4 linked regions of the Saccharomyces cerevisiae S288C genome follow. Changing the gene in region 4 together with the main gene of any one other region gives a genetic interaction. Each region holds a gene or a part of one and is shown on either strand. Other genes may lie near its edges.

The links.
Region 1: mutations in MAG1 (region 4) and ATF1 impair growth when combined (synthetic growth defect), as found in Saccharomyces cerevisiae (one study listed by BioGRID).
Region 2: of MAG1 (region 4) and REV1, changing one suppresses a phenotype caused by changing the other (phenotypic suppression), as found in Saccharomyces cerevisiae (one study listed by BioGRID).
Region 3: mutations in MAG1 (region 4) and DFP2 together harm fitness more than expected from each alone (negative genetic interaction), as found in Saccharomyces cerevisiae (2 studies listed by BioGRID).

The regions. Positions count from the first base shown.
Region 1 is NC_001147.6:1,044,319-1,048,353, reverse strand, and holds ATF1 (alcohol O-acetyltransferase), read right to left. Parts: upstream 2,129-4,035; coding exon 551-2,128; downstream 1-550. Other genes in the region: YOR376W-A (uncharacterized protein), read right to left, coding at 3,003-3,158. UniProt on the Saccharomyces cerevisiae protein: Major alcohol O-acetyltransferase that uses acetyl-CoA to synthesize acetate esters from various alcohols, producing ethyl acetate, isoamyl acetate, isobutyl acetate, butyl acetate, hexyl acetate, heptyl acetate and octyl acetate.
Region 2 is NC_001147.6:980,253-985,338, forward strand, and holds REV1 (deoxycytidyl transferase), read left to right. Parts: upstream 1-1,575; coding exon 1,576-4,533; downstream 4,534-5,086. Other genes in the region: pyruvate kinase PYK2, read right to left, coding at 4,690-5,086. UniProt on the Saccharomyces cerevisiae protein: Deoxycytidyl transferase involved in DNA repair. Transfers a dCMP residue from dCTP to the 3'-end of a DNA primer in a template-dependent reaction.
Region 3 is NC_001133.9:184,786-187,087, forward strand, and holds DFP2 (DUP240 family protein), read left to right. Parts: upstream 1-1,535; coding exon 1,536-1,760; downstream 1,761-2,302. Other genes in the region: KTD1 (DUP240 family protein), read left to right, coding at 107-811; pheromone-regulated DUP240 family protein PRM9, read left to right, coding at 2,051-2,302.
Region 4 is NC_001137.3:454,574-457,764, reverse strand, and holds MAG1 (DNA-3-methyladenine glycosylase II), read left to right. Parts: upstream 1-1,728; coding exon 1,729-2,619; downstream 2,620-3,191. Other genes in the region: DDI1 (Ddi1p), read right to left, coding at 160-1,446; COX15 (Cox15p), read right to left, coding at 2,846-3,191. UniProt on the Saccharomyces cerevisiae protein: Hydrolysis of the deoxyribose N-glycosidic bond to excise 3-methyladenine or 7-methyladenine from the damaged DNA polymer formed by alkylation lesions.

The sequences.
Region 1 (4,035 bases), on a different chromosome or scaffold from region 4:
CTTGTTGGTCTAGTGGTGTAGGCGCCCTTCAAAAGTTGCGTTTCTTGGGTGGGAGAAGTCCGAAAAATGCGTATCCGAGTGTACAACGGTTTTTTTTCAGGGACAATATGCCAAGGAATACCGTAAGCAACGGCTGCGCTAATACATCCATTAAAAATATCTCTCCTTGCTTAAGGTCTCACACCCAAAATGACAATGAGAGTGCTATTTTAGTTGTTCATCAATTTAGTATATACCAGCTCCCACAGGACGACGATTCTGACCCTTTCTATTTAAATAGCTCCTTACATCGAGAAGATCTCTGCAGCTAATCAAATCAATTAATATTTCAGATTTGTCGCGATTTTGAAATATATACTATAGGTTGTTATCTATCATATGCAATGTTCTGCACGTTATTTACTTCGATCTGATCTTAAATCAACTCTAAAAAAAGAAACCGATAAGTCCCTTTAACCAACCAAAGCCGAGGGAGTGACAACATGAAAGTGGGTTATTTACACGACATAATCATATTGTCGAATAATATCAGTCAAGCATCATGTGAGATCTAAGGGCCTAAAAGGAGAGCTTTGTAAATGGAGCAAAGCTCTTCGAGAGATTCTTGACTACCAACAACATTCTTTGTTGAAGCAACAACAATATTCATCCCCTTTACATTAGTCGAACAAACACCCAAGGAAAATGCTTGGTGCCAGGATCCTTGAAATTGGCCAAATGCCAAATCGCATATAGAATATTTGGCATCGGGCTCCTCTAACTGATTAAACAGACCTACATTGCTTAACAATGTACCTCCGCGTCTTTTCCCGATGGCACGATCGCACATTACCTTGTCAATGTTCACATATTTTTGAACGAAGCCTTGTATATTGAACCCTAAGCCATGGAGATGCTTTTTATTTCTTAAAGCTTCCGAAATTACTTCATGGTAGTGCTCAATAAGTGGCCAAAAATTTTCTTTGTTATCATTCATGTCAAATTCGCTTATCCAGGGGGTGAAGTCAATAAATCCAACGTTAGCGCCATATCTGTACATCTGTCTCATTTCATCATCATCTGGTAGTTGTGAGCGGCAATCTGCGGGGATAAAAATATCCGTAAGCCATTCGAAGTTCAATGGTTTGAAAAATTTACCCCATTTATGAAGAGATACAAACCAACAAACATGTAAAAACGGAGTGATAGTACACTTACCTTGGATATTTGATTTAATATTTGCTTTAATCGCTTGAAATTCTGTTGGTGAAATATTGATGATCTCGGTGACAACATCATCGGTTTTTTCCACATCATCCATTCTCATACAGACACCTTTTGAAGAAAATCTCAAATGATTGTAGATGAAACCCGAAAGAAGTGACTTCGGAATAAACAAGTACGGTGGTCTAAAGTCTATCACCTTTTCGATCGGTTCTGGAAGTTTCCTCAATAATTGGTAATCCTCCTCGTACTTGAAAATGTAATCTAATTTTTTTGGTGGAGTTTTAATATTATTTAATTCGTCTCTTAAATCATGAAAAAAGTGGATCGAAGACCGACCATCAGACATGCAATGATTAGATACAAAGATAAATTTTTTCCACTTTTCTGTGTGCTCTTCTGGAAGACAAATTAGCCGCCAACTCGGTCCTGTTGGTCCAAAGTAAGGAATAGTCAAAGTGGTAGTAAGTTTAAAAATTTTTGCAGTATAGGAACCCTTACTATTTTTGAATTCTTCTAATATTTGCTTCATTACTGCACTGTACTCAGGTTGTTCATTGAGAACCACACCACTCAGTTTCAATTCTTGTAATACTGAAATATAATCATGCACTGGATGTGGCCGTGAATAGTATTCGGAACTGCGATAATAATTTTCATGATTTGGCCATCTTGTTGGTAGAACAATATGTAAAAGAGTTGGATTTTTCAGGCAGATTTCCCTCAAAGCTAATGTGAGCTGATCCCTAGTACAGTAATCACTCAATTCTCCATATGTGCAGAAGTTTCGATATAAGTTTTGTCTGTTGAGAGCAACATACAGATCTTCAACAGATCCCATACGCCGAGCATGCCCATTCTGAATCATCTCTTTCAGGCATTCTTGTTGCACGGGGGCCTGATTTTTCTCATCGATTTCATTCATGAGAGCTGATAAATTGATGGTATTTGTGATACTGATGAAGTGCCGTTTTTTATTTTCTTGTCTCGAATTTTTGTTGGGTTGGCTTCAAAAAGACGCTTCCAGAGATCCATAAAAAACAATAGGATTATATTCAGAGTCCGCTCAACGCGATGACAATACCAGGCCAAAAAATGATGTGCGGCAAAAAATATAAAAACCGTAAATCGCAAGCCAATGAGTAGTCCTCACACGCTAGATCTATATATTCGGAAGTGAGAAGACCATCGAGTGCATTGAACCTTAGCTCAATGTCCAAAAAGTCAATTCTAAGGGTGGAATAGTCCTGTGCCAACAAATGAAGCTACAATTTTCTGCTGCCTGGGTCCATAAACCCTAACCTTACTTCTTTGCATTTCTTCGGTTTGCACGTGATCTCAATTGATAATTCCCAATTCTGATTTTACTTGTCAAGTACAAGTACTCTAACATAAGCTTACCACTTCTTAATTATCCGGGTGTCAGTTTATTTTATAAACACGGTAATATTTTGATAATCTTTGGCAACTTTTAGGAAATACTCCTTTACCTATATACATCGCGACCAAAATTAGCAATCTTTTACGATGAGTACCTCAGAAAATACTGTTGAATTCTTTCAAGGGGTAGCAAAACTGTCCAGAGCTTATATCTACCTGTGCTCAAAATACAGTTGAAACCACCTCTTCCTACAGTGGTATAACATATGAGAGAATAAGCTATTAACGGTTGGTCGTTAACACCTCAAAATTGTATATTCCTGTAGTTCACTGTCAGTAAACTGAGATTGTTTATTTGTGCCATTATACCAAATTTAGCACCCTATGTGGCAATTTTTCAGATTTGCCACGCTTTTGCTCTACTTAAATGGAATGCAACAACAAAACTTTGTTTTAGCATCGCGGGATTGAGGATGAAGAGAATACTTATGCATCTCGTCTTGAAATACTGTCGCCCAAACTTCTAAATACGCTTGATTATACCATAAAATTGTCCACCCAAGATGGAATGTCATTACAGGAATATTTATGGCTGTCCTCCTTATCTTCACATTTGAAGGGAGAAATAGAGGGGCGAAAAGAGAAACTATTCGCCGGAAACTTAACGGTAATATTATAGATGTGGGGCTTGCAGTTACCTTTTAGCACCCAACTATAAGTGTATCACACCATTATTAATGAGAAAGTCTTAACATTCCAGGAGGTACAAAATATGACAATCCTAGAAACTCTGTTTGCAGTGCAATGAGTCCAAATTTTTTTTTAACTAAGAGGATGCCTCCTTCGCAAACTGTATAGTTTTCCATTTTCTTCTGCCATTTCATCTTTGGAGTAACTATTATTTCGCCCCTTTTGTTTGCTGCATATCGCCCCGCTCTCTGCATACACGATTGGATAATGACCAAAGCAAGGTTTAATACGCCCACAGTTAGATATCTATAATTTTAGAGTACGATATTCATCATCATAGGCTGAACCTTGCCTTTCCTTGCATTCTTTATTCCCATTGAGGTATATTTTAAAATTTGTTCGGAGGTAAAGAAGGATAAGCTTTTCTAGTAATTTCCCTCCTCGATCGGCCTCAGATTTCCCGTCATAAAATATACGCGCCATGGAGAGATTTAATGACATAGATGTGCCGCAAAAGCATACACAGCGTATTTTCTTTGAGTATTTAATAGGTAAGCTAAGTTTCGTAGCTCGTTAGTAATATTACTCTATGGATTCTGTGCCACTTCTTCAAACAGGGCGCGAAAACCTTGAAGAAGCAGCGCACTTGATGCCCCTAGTGAGAGTCACGTGACGGTTATCCCATTTAAGGTATTCCTGTTGCGACCCCTCTCACACAGATATATCTTGCGGCTAGAGATAGGTTGTGATTAGGAATAGATC
Region 2 (5,086 bases), on a different chromosome or scaffold from region 4:
ATGTTCTTGAGAAATGGGTGAATGTTGAGATAATTGTTGGGATTCCATTGTTGATAAAGGCTATAATATTAGGTATACAGAATATACTAGAAGTTCTCCTCGAGGGTCTAGGAATCCCCATAATGGAATCTATATTTCTATATACCAATATTACGATTATTCCTCATTCCGTTTTATATGTTTCATTATCCTATTACATTATCAATCCTTGCACTTCAGCTTCCTCTAACTTCGATGACAGCTTCTCATAACTTGTGTCATCATCTTAACACCGTATATGATAATATATTGATAGTATAACTATTAGTTGATAGACGATAGTGGATTTTTATTCCAACAGTTCTCTTCAACCATTCGTTTTTGGGACTGAGGAAAATGAATATAAAATTATAATACTTCATCTTGAACTTTGAGAAATCACAAATTGTATGGGCGTGTGGTCTAGTGGAATGATTCTCGCTTTGGGCGATCCCCCTGATCAAACAGGAGGAACAAAGCATGCGAGAGGCCCTGGGTTCAATTCCCAGCTCGCCCCTTTTTTTGCAACTTCGTTTTAGACAGTTACTTAATTTTGTTTCTTAGGCACAACAATATTTATAAAAGAAGAATGTAAGTATGACGACGAAAACGAAAAGACTAATAGTTTCATATAATACTAAACGATTTCAATTTTCGTTTTATATCCTTCCTATTCATAAATTTTATTTCGCTATGCCAATAATGAGTGGATGTATAGTTGATATCTGTTTCGATAATTTTAAAGTAGATAGTAAAATCTTACTGACATGAATAATCCGTCCAAAACTAGATTACTGTATACAAGCATATTTAAAAAAATAATGAAACTATGATCAAAAAACTGTGCTACTACAGCGGTGTTGTTATCCGATACAACCGGATATTTTTCTTTTAATGAGTCTAAACCGTGATAGCTTCAGGTTAATACAATCAAAAAAAGCTCAAATATTCTTTTAATGCCGCGTTCACAGATTCCAATTGAATACAACTAGGTAGTTCATTATATGAAGCCTTTGCTACTATTTTTCACTATAGTCTGCCTTCACCTTAATGCAGACATCCACATATTTTAATCACTTTAAAATAAAAAGGAAGATATATTAGAAGCTATGATCCAATCTGTAAGCCAGATTAAAATTCACGAACTCTTCTTTCATTTGAATTGAATGCTTTGAGTTGGGGTAGATTATCGCAAATTACTCATCACATTTATTGACTACGAACTTGCTGATGTCCTTTTTTTATTTATATTTTTCTTCAGTGAAGCGATTTTTTTTTTACACAGACCAAGACGGAAAAAAGTAGCTAAGGAAGAAAACAAAATCATGAAAAAAATGTGAAGTGATCATGCACATCGCATCAACTTAAACATTGGCTTAGAGATATATAGAGTTAGAGTTTACGGCAACCTTTAAGCACCAATACCTTTTGGCATAGTCTAAAGACCTGGTTCTTAATTTTAAACAAATTTAACTAAAGATTTCCCTATCAAAGAAGTAACGAGTTGACAGATTTTCTCAAAATAAATCGATACTGCATTTCTAGGCATATCCAGCGATGGGTGAACATGGTGGTCTTGTAGATTTATTGGACAGCGATTTGGAATACTCTATAAATAGGGAAACACCTGATAAAAACAATTGCCTTAGCCAGCAAAGTGTCAATGATTCACATTTAACAGCAAAGACCGGCGGCTTGAATGCAAGGTCTTTTCTATCTACGTTAAGCGATGATTCCTTAATTGAATATGTCAACCAACTCTCCCAAACTAATAAGAATAATTCTAATCCAACTGCAGGTACTTTAAGATTTACTACTAAAAATATTAGCTGTGATGAATTACATGCTGATCTTGGCGGTGGCGAAGATTCACCTATAGCTCGTAGCGTCATCGAGATCCAGGAAAGTGATAGCAATGGTGATGATGTTAAAAAAAATACTGTGTATACTAGGGAGGCTTATTTCCACGAGAAGGCGCACGGACAAACCCTGCAAGATCAAATATTAAAAGATCAATATAAAGATCAAATTTCTAGTCAAAGCAGTAAAATATTCAAAAATTGCGTCATCTATATAAATGGCTACACCAAACCTGGAAGACTGCAATTACACGAGATGATAGTTTTACATGGCGGAAAATTTTTACACTATTTGTCTTCAAAGAAAACGGTTACTCACATAGTGGCTTCCAATTTACCATTAAAGAAAAGGATTGAATTTGCAAATTACAAAGTAGTCAGTCCGGATTGGATAGTTGATAGCGTCAAAGAAGCAAGATTATTGCCCTGGCAAAATTACTCGTTAACATCTAAACTTGATGAACAGCAAAAAAAACTAGATAATTGTAAAACCGTAAATTCAATTCCATTGCCCTCAGAGACTAGCCTGCACAAAGGATCTAAATGTGTAGGGTCGGCATTGTTGCCAGTAGAACAGCAGTCACCAGTAAATCTCAATAATTTGGAGGCGAAAAGGATAGTCGCTTGTGATGATCCTGATTTCCTTACTTCCTATTTTGCTCATTCGAGATTACATCATCTCTCCGCATGGAAGGCCAATCTGAAAGATAAATTTCTGAATGAAAACATCCACAAGTACACCAAAATTACGGATAAGGATACCTACATTATCTTTCATATCGATTTTGACTGTTTTTTTGCAACTGTTGCGTATCTATGTAGAAGTTCTAGTTTCTCAGCATGTGATTTTAAACGGGATCCTATAGTGGTATGCCATGGTACTAAAAACTCCGATATAGCTAGTTGCAATTATGTAGCAAGGTCATATGGGATTAAAAATGGAATGTGGGTGTCTCAAGCTGAAAAGATGTTGCCAAATGGGATCAAACTAATATCATTACCATATACCTTTGAGCAATTTCAATTAAAATCGGAAGCCTTTTACAGTACTCTCAAAAGATTGAACATATTCAATTTGATTTTACCTATATCTATTGATGAAGCTGTTTGTGTGAGGATAATCCCTGATAATATTCATAACACTAATACCTTAAATGCAAGACTGTGCGAAGAAATACGCCAAGAAATTTTTCAAGGAACGAATGGTTGCACAGTGAGCATTGGATGTTCCGATTCTCTTGTGTTAGCAAGACTAGCTCTCAAAATGGCGAAACCAAATGGTTACAATATCACGTTTAAGAGTAACCTATCTGAAGAATTCTGGTCTAGTTTCAAACTAGATGATCTGCCTGGAGTTGGGCATTCTACTCTGTCAAGGTTAGAATCAACGTTTGATAGCCCACATTCTTTAAATGACTTGAGAAAAAGATATACTTTAGATGCTTTGAAGGCGAGCGTCGGCTCTAAGTTAGGTATGAAGATTCATCTCGCGTTACAAGGCCAAGATGATGAAGAAAGCTTGAAAATACTGTACGATCCCAAAGAAGTCTTACAAAGAAAATCATTATCAATTGATATCAATTGGGGAATCAGATTTAAAAATATCACTCAGGTAGACTTGTTCATAGAAAGAGGTTGTCAGTATCTTTTAGAAAAATTGAATGAAATAAACAAAACAACGTCACAAATCACATTAAAACTGATGAGAAGATGTAAAGACGCTCCAATTGAACCCCCAAAATATATGGGGATGGGAAGGTGCGACTCATTCAGTCGGAGCAGCAGATTAGGTATTCCAACAAACGAATTTGGAATTATTGCTACCGAAATGAAAAGTTTGTATCGAACTTTGGGCTGCCCTCCAATGGAATTAAGAGGTCTTGCTCTACAATTCAACAAATTGGTTGATGTGGGTCCGGATAACAATCAGCTGAAACTGAGGTTACCGTTTAAAACAATAGTGACGAACAGAGCTTTCGAAGCCTTACCGGAAGATGTAAAAAATGACATTAACAACGAGTTCGAGAAAAGAAATTATAAGAGAAAAGAATCCGGGTTGACTTCAAACTCATTGAGCTCTAAAAAAAAAGGATTTGCCATTTCCAGATTAGAAGTAAATGATTTGCCCAGTACTATGGAAGAACAGTTTATGAATGAACTACCAACCCAAATTCGAGCAGAAGTAAGGCACGACTTGAGAATTCAGAAAAAAATCCAACAGACAAAGTTAGGAAACCTACAAGAAAAGATAAAAAGGAGAGAAGAGAGCCTACAGAACGAGAAAAATCATTTCATGGGCCAAAATAGTATATTCCAGCCGATCAAATTCCAAAATCTGACACGGTTCAAAAAAATTTGTCAATTAGTGAAACAATGGGTTGCCGAAACTTTAGGTGATGGAGGGCCGCATGAAAAAGATGTTAAATTATTCGTGAAATATTTGATTAAACTTTGCGATTCTAATAGAGTCCATTTAGTTCTTCATTTATCAAACCTAATATCAAGGGAATTAAATCTCTGCGCCTTTTTAAATCAGGATCATTCAGGCTTCCAAACGTGGGAAAGAATTTTACTCAATGATATAATTCCACTTTTAAACAGAAATAAACATACTTACCAGACTGTGCGTAAACTTGACATGGACTTTGAAGTTTGAATTAAAAAAAAAAAAACATTTCAGCATACAGTAAACACGCAGTTTGCGAACATTACCTGTAATATCTGCATGATTATTACCAAAGAAAAAAAAAATAACTGACACAATGGACAATTAAATAAAATTAAGTAAAAAAAATAAGGACTTTAATTTTTACTAGAATTCTTGACCAACAGTAGAAATGCGTAAGGTATTGGAATGGCCGACTCCTCCTTTGAATCCTTGAATGGAAACAACAGTATCACCGTTGTCCACCATTCCGAAAGACCTCGCCATTTCAACACCAAACTTTAGGCGCCTATGAACATCCTCACCCCAGTCGTCTAGGCGTTTCGGTTCATACAGAAATGGGAAAACACCTCTATACAAATGCGCAATTCTTGCCGTTCTTGCGTGTCTTGTTACTAATATGATAGGGCAGCTTGGTCTATACTTCGACAGTAGCCTTGCCGTGTTCCCTGTAGTAGATAATACAACGATGGCCTTACCATCTTGCTCCAAGATTGCTGCGGTAGCTGCAGCTGCTACAGTTTCCGTAGTGGAAGTAGGTTTG
Region 3 (2,302 bases), on a different chromosome or scaffold from region 4:
ATAATAAATACAATGGTGAACAACGTTAAAAAAGCATAAAACAGCTGGCTATTTTGATCAGGATAACATCTATAAGTGCCATATTAAGGCAAGATATCAATTGACCATGCAAACACCTTCAGAAAATACCGACGTAAAGATGGATACTCTCGACGAACCCAGTGCACATTTAATCGAAGAGAATGTAGCTCTTCCCGAAGACACATTCAGTTCACATCTGAGTTATGTACTTTATGAAATTGCTCATTGTAAACCGATCATGTTTATGATCATCATAATCGTGAGTTTGATCTCATTGATTGTGCTTTTTCATGATAACGACGGGTGCACTGTGATCTTAGTGATGTCCCTTATAGTAGCCTCCATGGCTTTAATGGTGGTTGCAGCATTCACATTCGGGAAAGCGATCACTGAACAGGAGTTCATGATAAAGCTTTTAGTGGAGGTGATCGCACGCAAGCCTGCGGGGAAGGAATGGGGTACTGTCGCATATAATATGAACCAATATCTATTCATGAAGAGACTATGGTATACCCCGTACTATTTCTATAGCGGCAAGAAGTGCCATGAGTTCTTCACCACTCTTATCAAGGAAGTGAATTCTGGTTCGCACTCGGATTCCTCATCGAATAGTGCCGAGGATACACAATCACCTGTCTCAGCAGGGAAGACTTCAAATGGTCTAAACAACTTTTATAGTATTAGATCAGACCCTATTTTGATGGCATATGTTTTGAAGGCAACACAAATAGAAAAGGAGGCTCAAAGTGAATACTGGAGAAAGCAATATCCTGACGCTGATTTACCTTGAAGCGGAAGCATTTTATTCACCAAGTATACTTACTTTTCTTTAAAACGAGAACAAGAATCGAATTCAAGAACATCTCGAAGCCAGAATTGAGCATCATATATTCGAGCTGTACAAACATCATGGCCTACAACTATCGTATTTGTAAGTTTTTTTAGAGGTTTTCATATTTGTTTAATAAGGGTTCTGTCAGTTTTTGTCACATTCTATTGTTGCGCTTCGCATAATGCAGCCAAGAAAATCCAAACAATAGAAAAAGAAAAAAAGGATCTCAAAAAGGGTTTGGTGTTGTAGTTATAAGAATAACTAGTGAATAAAAAAGCTGTTGTTTGGTCCGTATTACATTCGTCAAAAATTTAGTACTCAAATCGTGTATGCAATCGCAACCACAAAATAAAAATATTAGACTGGATGTGTTGAGTGGAGATGGTGCCAATTTAGTTGAGGGAAATGTGGTCCTTCCCAAAGACATGTTCAATTCGTACTTAAGTTATTCACTTTACGTGTTACGAGGGGGCTCATTGTAAGCCGATAATGATTATGTTCCTGGCATCTGTAATTTTGATTTCACTGACTAATTTCCGAGTATACCATCTCATGTCCCTTCTATCCTCTTTTTTCATCTCCGGGACAGACCGACAATAAAGCATCTAATATTAGGCTTTCGTTAGAGGTAAGCACACGCCAGCGTTCGGTGAAAGGGGAATGAAACATTATCACGTACAAGATGAATAAATATCTATTTGACCATAAAATATGGAGTACTCCTTACTACTTTTATTGCGAAGAAGATTGCCACCGTCTTTTTCTAAGTTTTATTGAGGGAAGAACTTTCGAGAAGCCAACAAGCAACGCTGAGGAAAATGTACAGGAGACTGAAGCTGGCGAATCTTTCACATTAAATCCCGGAGAAGATTTTCAAAATTGCTTTCCAAGACAGCGGATATTGTAGAACAATCTCAAGTGAAGTATTGGCAAGATATTGGTGCAATTATTTGAAAGGAAGGAGAAATATTCTGACAGTACCTTGCTAGCAAAGGGATTTACCAATCCACTGACGCTAAAATGGGGTAGTAAATTAGATAAATTGCATTCTAACGTGACTTTATATAGTGGGAAACAGATATGTAGCACACAAAACGGCATGATTATGCTTAATTGATTCCTATTTTTTAACGTAAATACTCTCCCAGAACGATCAGAAAACTTAACCCGCAACCATCTTTGCTGTGCTAACAACTTATGTCGCCTCAATACCATTTTTATTTTGTATCATTCCGGAACTTAGTATTGAATGAAAAATGCCTCCGAAGTAAAAAGCAGGTGATGAAAAGTTTCAATTGGTATAAGACAGATCGCTATTTTGATCCGCATAACATCCTTCAACACCATAGCAGAGCTATAGAGAAGACAAGATATAAACTGGGCATGCAAACATCTTCAGAAAGTACCGACGCCAAGTCGGATTTTCTCGACGAACCCAGTGCATATTTA
Region 4 (3,191 bases):
GGCACAAATACAATCTGCATATTATATACTTAACAGAAGTACAATCATATACAATACAAACAACAATTGACGAAACAATGAAAGTATGTACATCCTTATACTTATCTATTTGTGTTATGGGCTACATACGTAGAGGCCGATCACAATATCAGTGGTTGCTCATTGGAAAAGGAGGGATGCAGCAAATTCTGCATTTCCGTTAGTCTGTTTAAGAGCCTTTACCACAGCATCCCTAGGGAAACCTAGATCCATAAGCTGTTTAATCGTTTGTTCGGGAAACGTTCTCCCGGTTGCCGTTGTAGCACCGGCTGTACTTCTTCCCGTAGGTGTTGGCCCCATACCAGTCCTTGGAGCAAGCGCAGGAACAGCCCCCGGTTGTGGTGGTAGAGTTGAACTAGTCTTGGTGGGTGTTAGGGGCTTATCAGACGAAGTTGTAACTGACGTTGGTGCTGGAAGTCCTTCTTGAAAACTTTTTGGGATTTCCGCTTCACTCAAAAAGCTTGTCTCCACTTCTGCTATCCTAAGAACGTTTTCCTTTAAGTCCACACAAGCCAAATGCCTTTTCAGCATGTCTAGTCCTATCAAAACATCGATGTCAGTATCTAAGACGGTAAAACTGCATGGAATATATTGTGTTTCTATTTTGACTTGGGCTTGGTGAATTCTCCCAATAATTTTGCCGGTTCCTACGCCACGAGCTTCTCCAATAAATCTCTTGTCAATCATTCTCGACAGGCCAGTTTTCTTCGCTAACCTGGTGGACATAATCGTTGTTTGAGCCCCTGTATCTACAAATGCCTTTACGGGGTAGTTATTTATTTCGATATTAATGTAAAGCATAGGGACCTGGGTAAACATTTCAGGTGTATATTCGATAGCATTGCGCAACTGTTCATCGATAGCTTGTTGGTCTAAAAGCTCTGCAATCCTCTTCTTGTTGTCAGGATCATCGGGGTTGGCCATTAGTCTAGTATATTCATCTTGGGGGATGCCAAAAGGATTCATGGCGGTGTTATAGCCACCATAACGTCTTTGTAATATGAGCGGGCCCAATCTTTCCCTAAACAACAGTGGGTCATTTACTAAATCATTCAATCCAGGGATTTGCAAAATGAGTTGTGATCTAAGCATTTGATTATTAAGTAGCTCTTGTCTAAATTGCTCTATGAACGCTTCGTCGGACAAAGTAGCAGCATCTGTTTGAATGGAATTGGAAATCTTACCCCTAATCAATAATAAGTCATCGGTTTTGAGCCCTAGTTCTTTTAAAGACTGAGTTCTGTTTGAGTCTAGAATGTCCATATTGTAATATAAGTCGTGTTTTGTTTTGTCAAACCCGCAATCGGCCTGCAGTAATGCTATTAGATCAGTTAAAGCCATATCTTCACTGACTTCAATTGGGCCGTATATCTCGCCAGTAAGTTCGTTTGAAATTGTTAAATCCATCTTTACGTATATTTTTGCTGTTATGTTTGGTATGTACTTTGTTAACTACGTTAAGTATACTTTCTTATTCGACCTACTTTATATATCATTTTGGTATTATTATCTTTTCGGTGGCGATGAATTTACAGGGCGGGGTGGCGACGGGAATTCTTACATAAAGTTTAAGTTATCTATGAATCAATGAGAATTGGCCACTGCCCTCTGATATGACGATGGAAGTGGTACTTTTCCTTTTTAATTTTTTACTGAGAATCAAGAGAAGCTAGAGAGGGATTGGTCTCAATGAAACTAAAAAGGGAGTATGATGAGTTAATAAAAGCAGACGCTGTTAAGGAAATAGCAAAAGAATTAGGGTCTCGACCTCTAGAGGTTGCTCTTCCTGAGAAATATATTGCTAGACATGAAGAAAAGTTCAATATGGCTTGCGAACACATTTTAGAGAAAGATCCATCACTTTTTCCCATACTTAAGAATAATGAATTTACGTTGTACTTGAAGGAGACTCAAGTCCCTAATACACTCGAAGATTATTTTATTAGGCTTGCAAGCACAATTTTGTCTCAACAGATCAGTGGCCAAGCAGCTGAAAGCATCAAGGCAAGGGTTGTCAGTCTTTATGGCGGTGCATTTCCTGATTACAAAATCCTTTTCGAAGACTTCAAAGACCCAGCAAAATGTGCAGAAATCGCAAAATGTGGATTGAGTAAAAGGAAAATGATATATCTAGAGTCTCTTGCTGTCTATTTTACTGAAAAATATAAGGATATCGAAAAGCTCTTCGGTCAAAAAGATAATGATGAGGAAGTGATTGAAAGTTTAGTTACGAATGTAAAAGGTATAGGCCCATGGAGTGCCAAAATGTTCTTGATCTCCGGATTGAAAAGAATGGATGTATTTGCTCCTGAAGATCTAGGTATTGCTAGGGGTTTTTCAAAATACCTTTCAGATAAGCCAGAATTGGAAAAAGAATTAATGCGTGAAAGAAAAGTAGTTAAAAAGAGTAAGATTAAGCATAAGAAATACAACTGGAAAATATATGACGACGACATAATGGAAAAATGCTCTGAAACATTTTCTCCGTATAGGTCTGTGTTTATGTTCATACTTTGGAGGCTCGCGAGCACAAATACAGATGCCATGATGAAGGCAGAAGAAAATTTCGTGAAATCCTAACTTAAAGATATCATGTATTACTGACATTTATATAAGAAAAAAAAAAATAAAAATAAATACACCCTATTGTTGTGTGTGATGCCTACTAAAGAAATTCATATTTACAGCTTCTCGTAGGGATACCAACATATAATAAGAAAAAGCCTCACACATACAATCCAACCATTGGAGCGACAAAGCGGAAAAGCGAGTATACTGTCAATTCTCATAAGAATACCTTTATCCATTATAATGGTTTCGAGGCTAACTTCGACGCTTCACTTAAAATTTTACCGCTAGTTACTTTGCTTGAATGTGGCAAGGTAATGATTACGTTTCTCATCGGAGCTCTTGGCTTCCTTAATTGAGAGGCAAACACCAAAGAACTTGTTAGCAACGCCAAAGCACCAGCTTGATGGATAGAAGCTAACGATATTGGGACTAGGTACAATATAGTTAAAATACCAAGTGTTGCTTGTAAAGTAACGACGCCCATCATAACATGCAAAGAGGTCATCGCGTTCCTTGGAATTACGGCCTTCTTTTTGATAGCGTACATATGAGCAGCTAGTACTGATGTAAACGCAACGTAC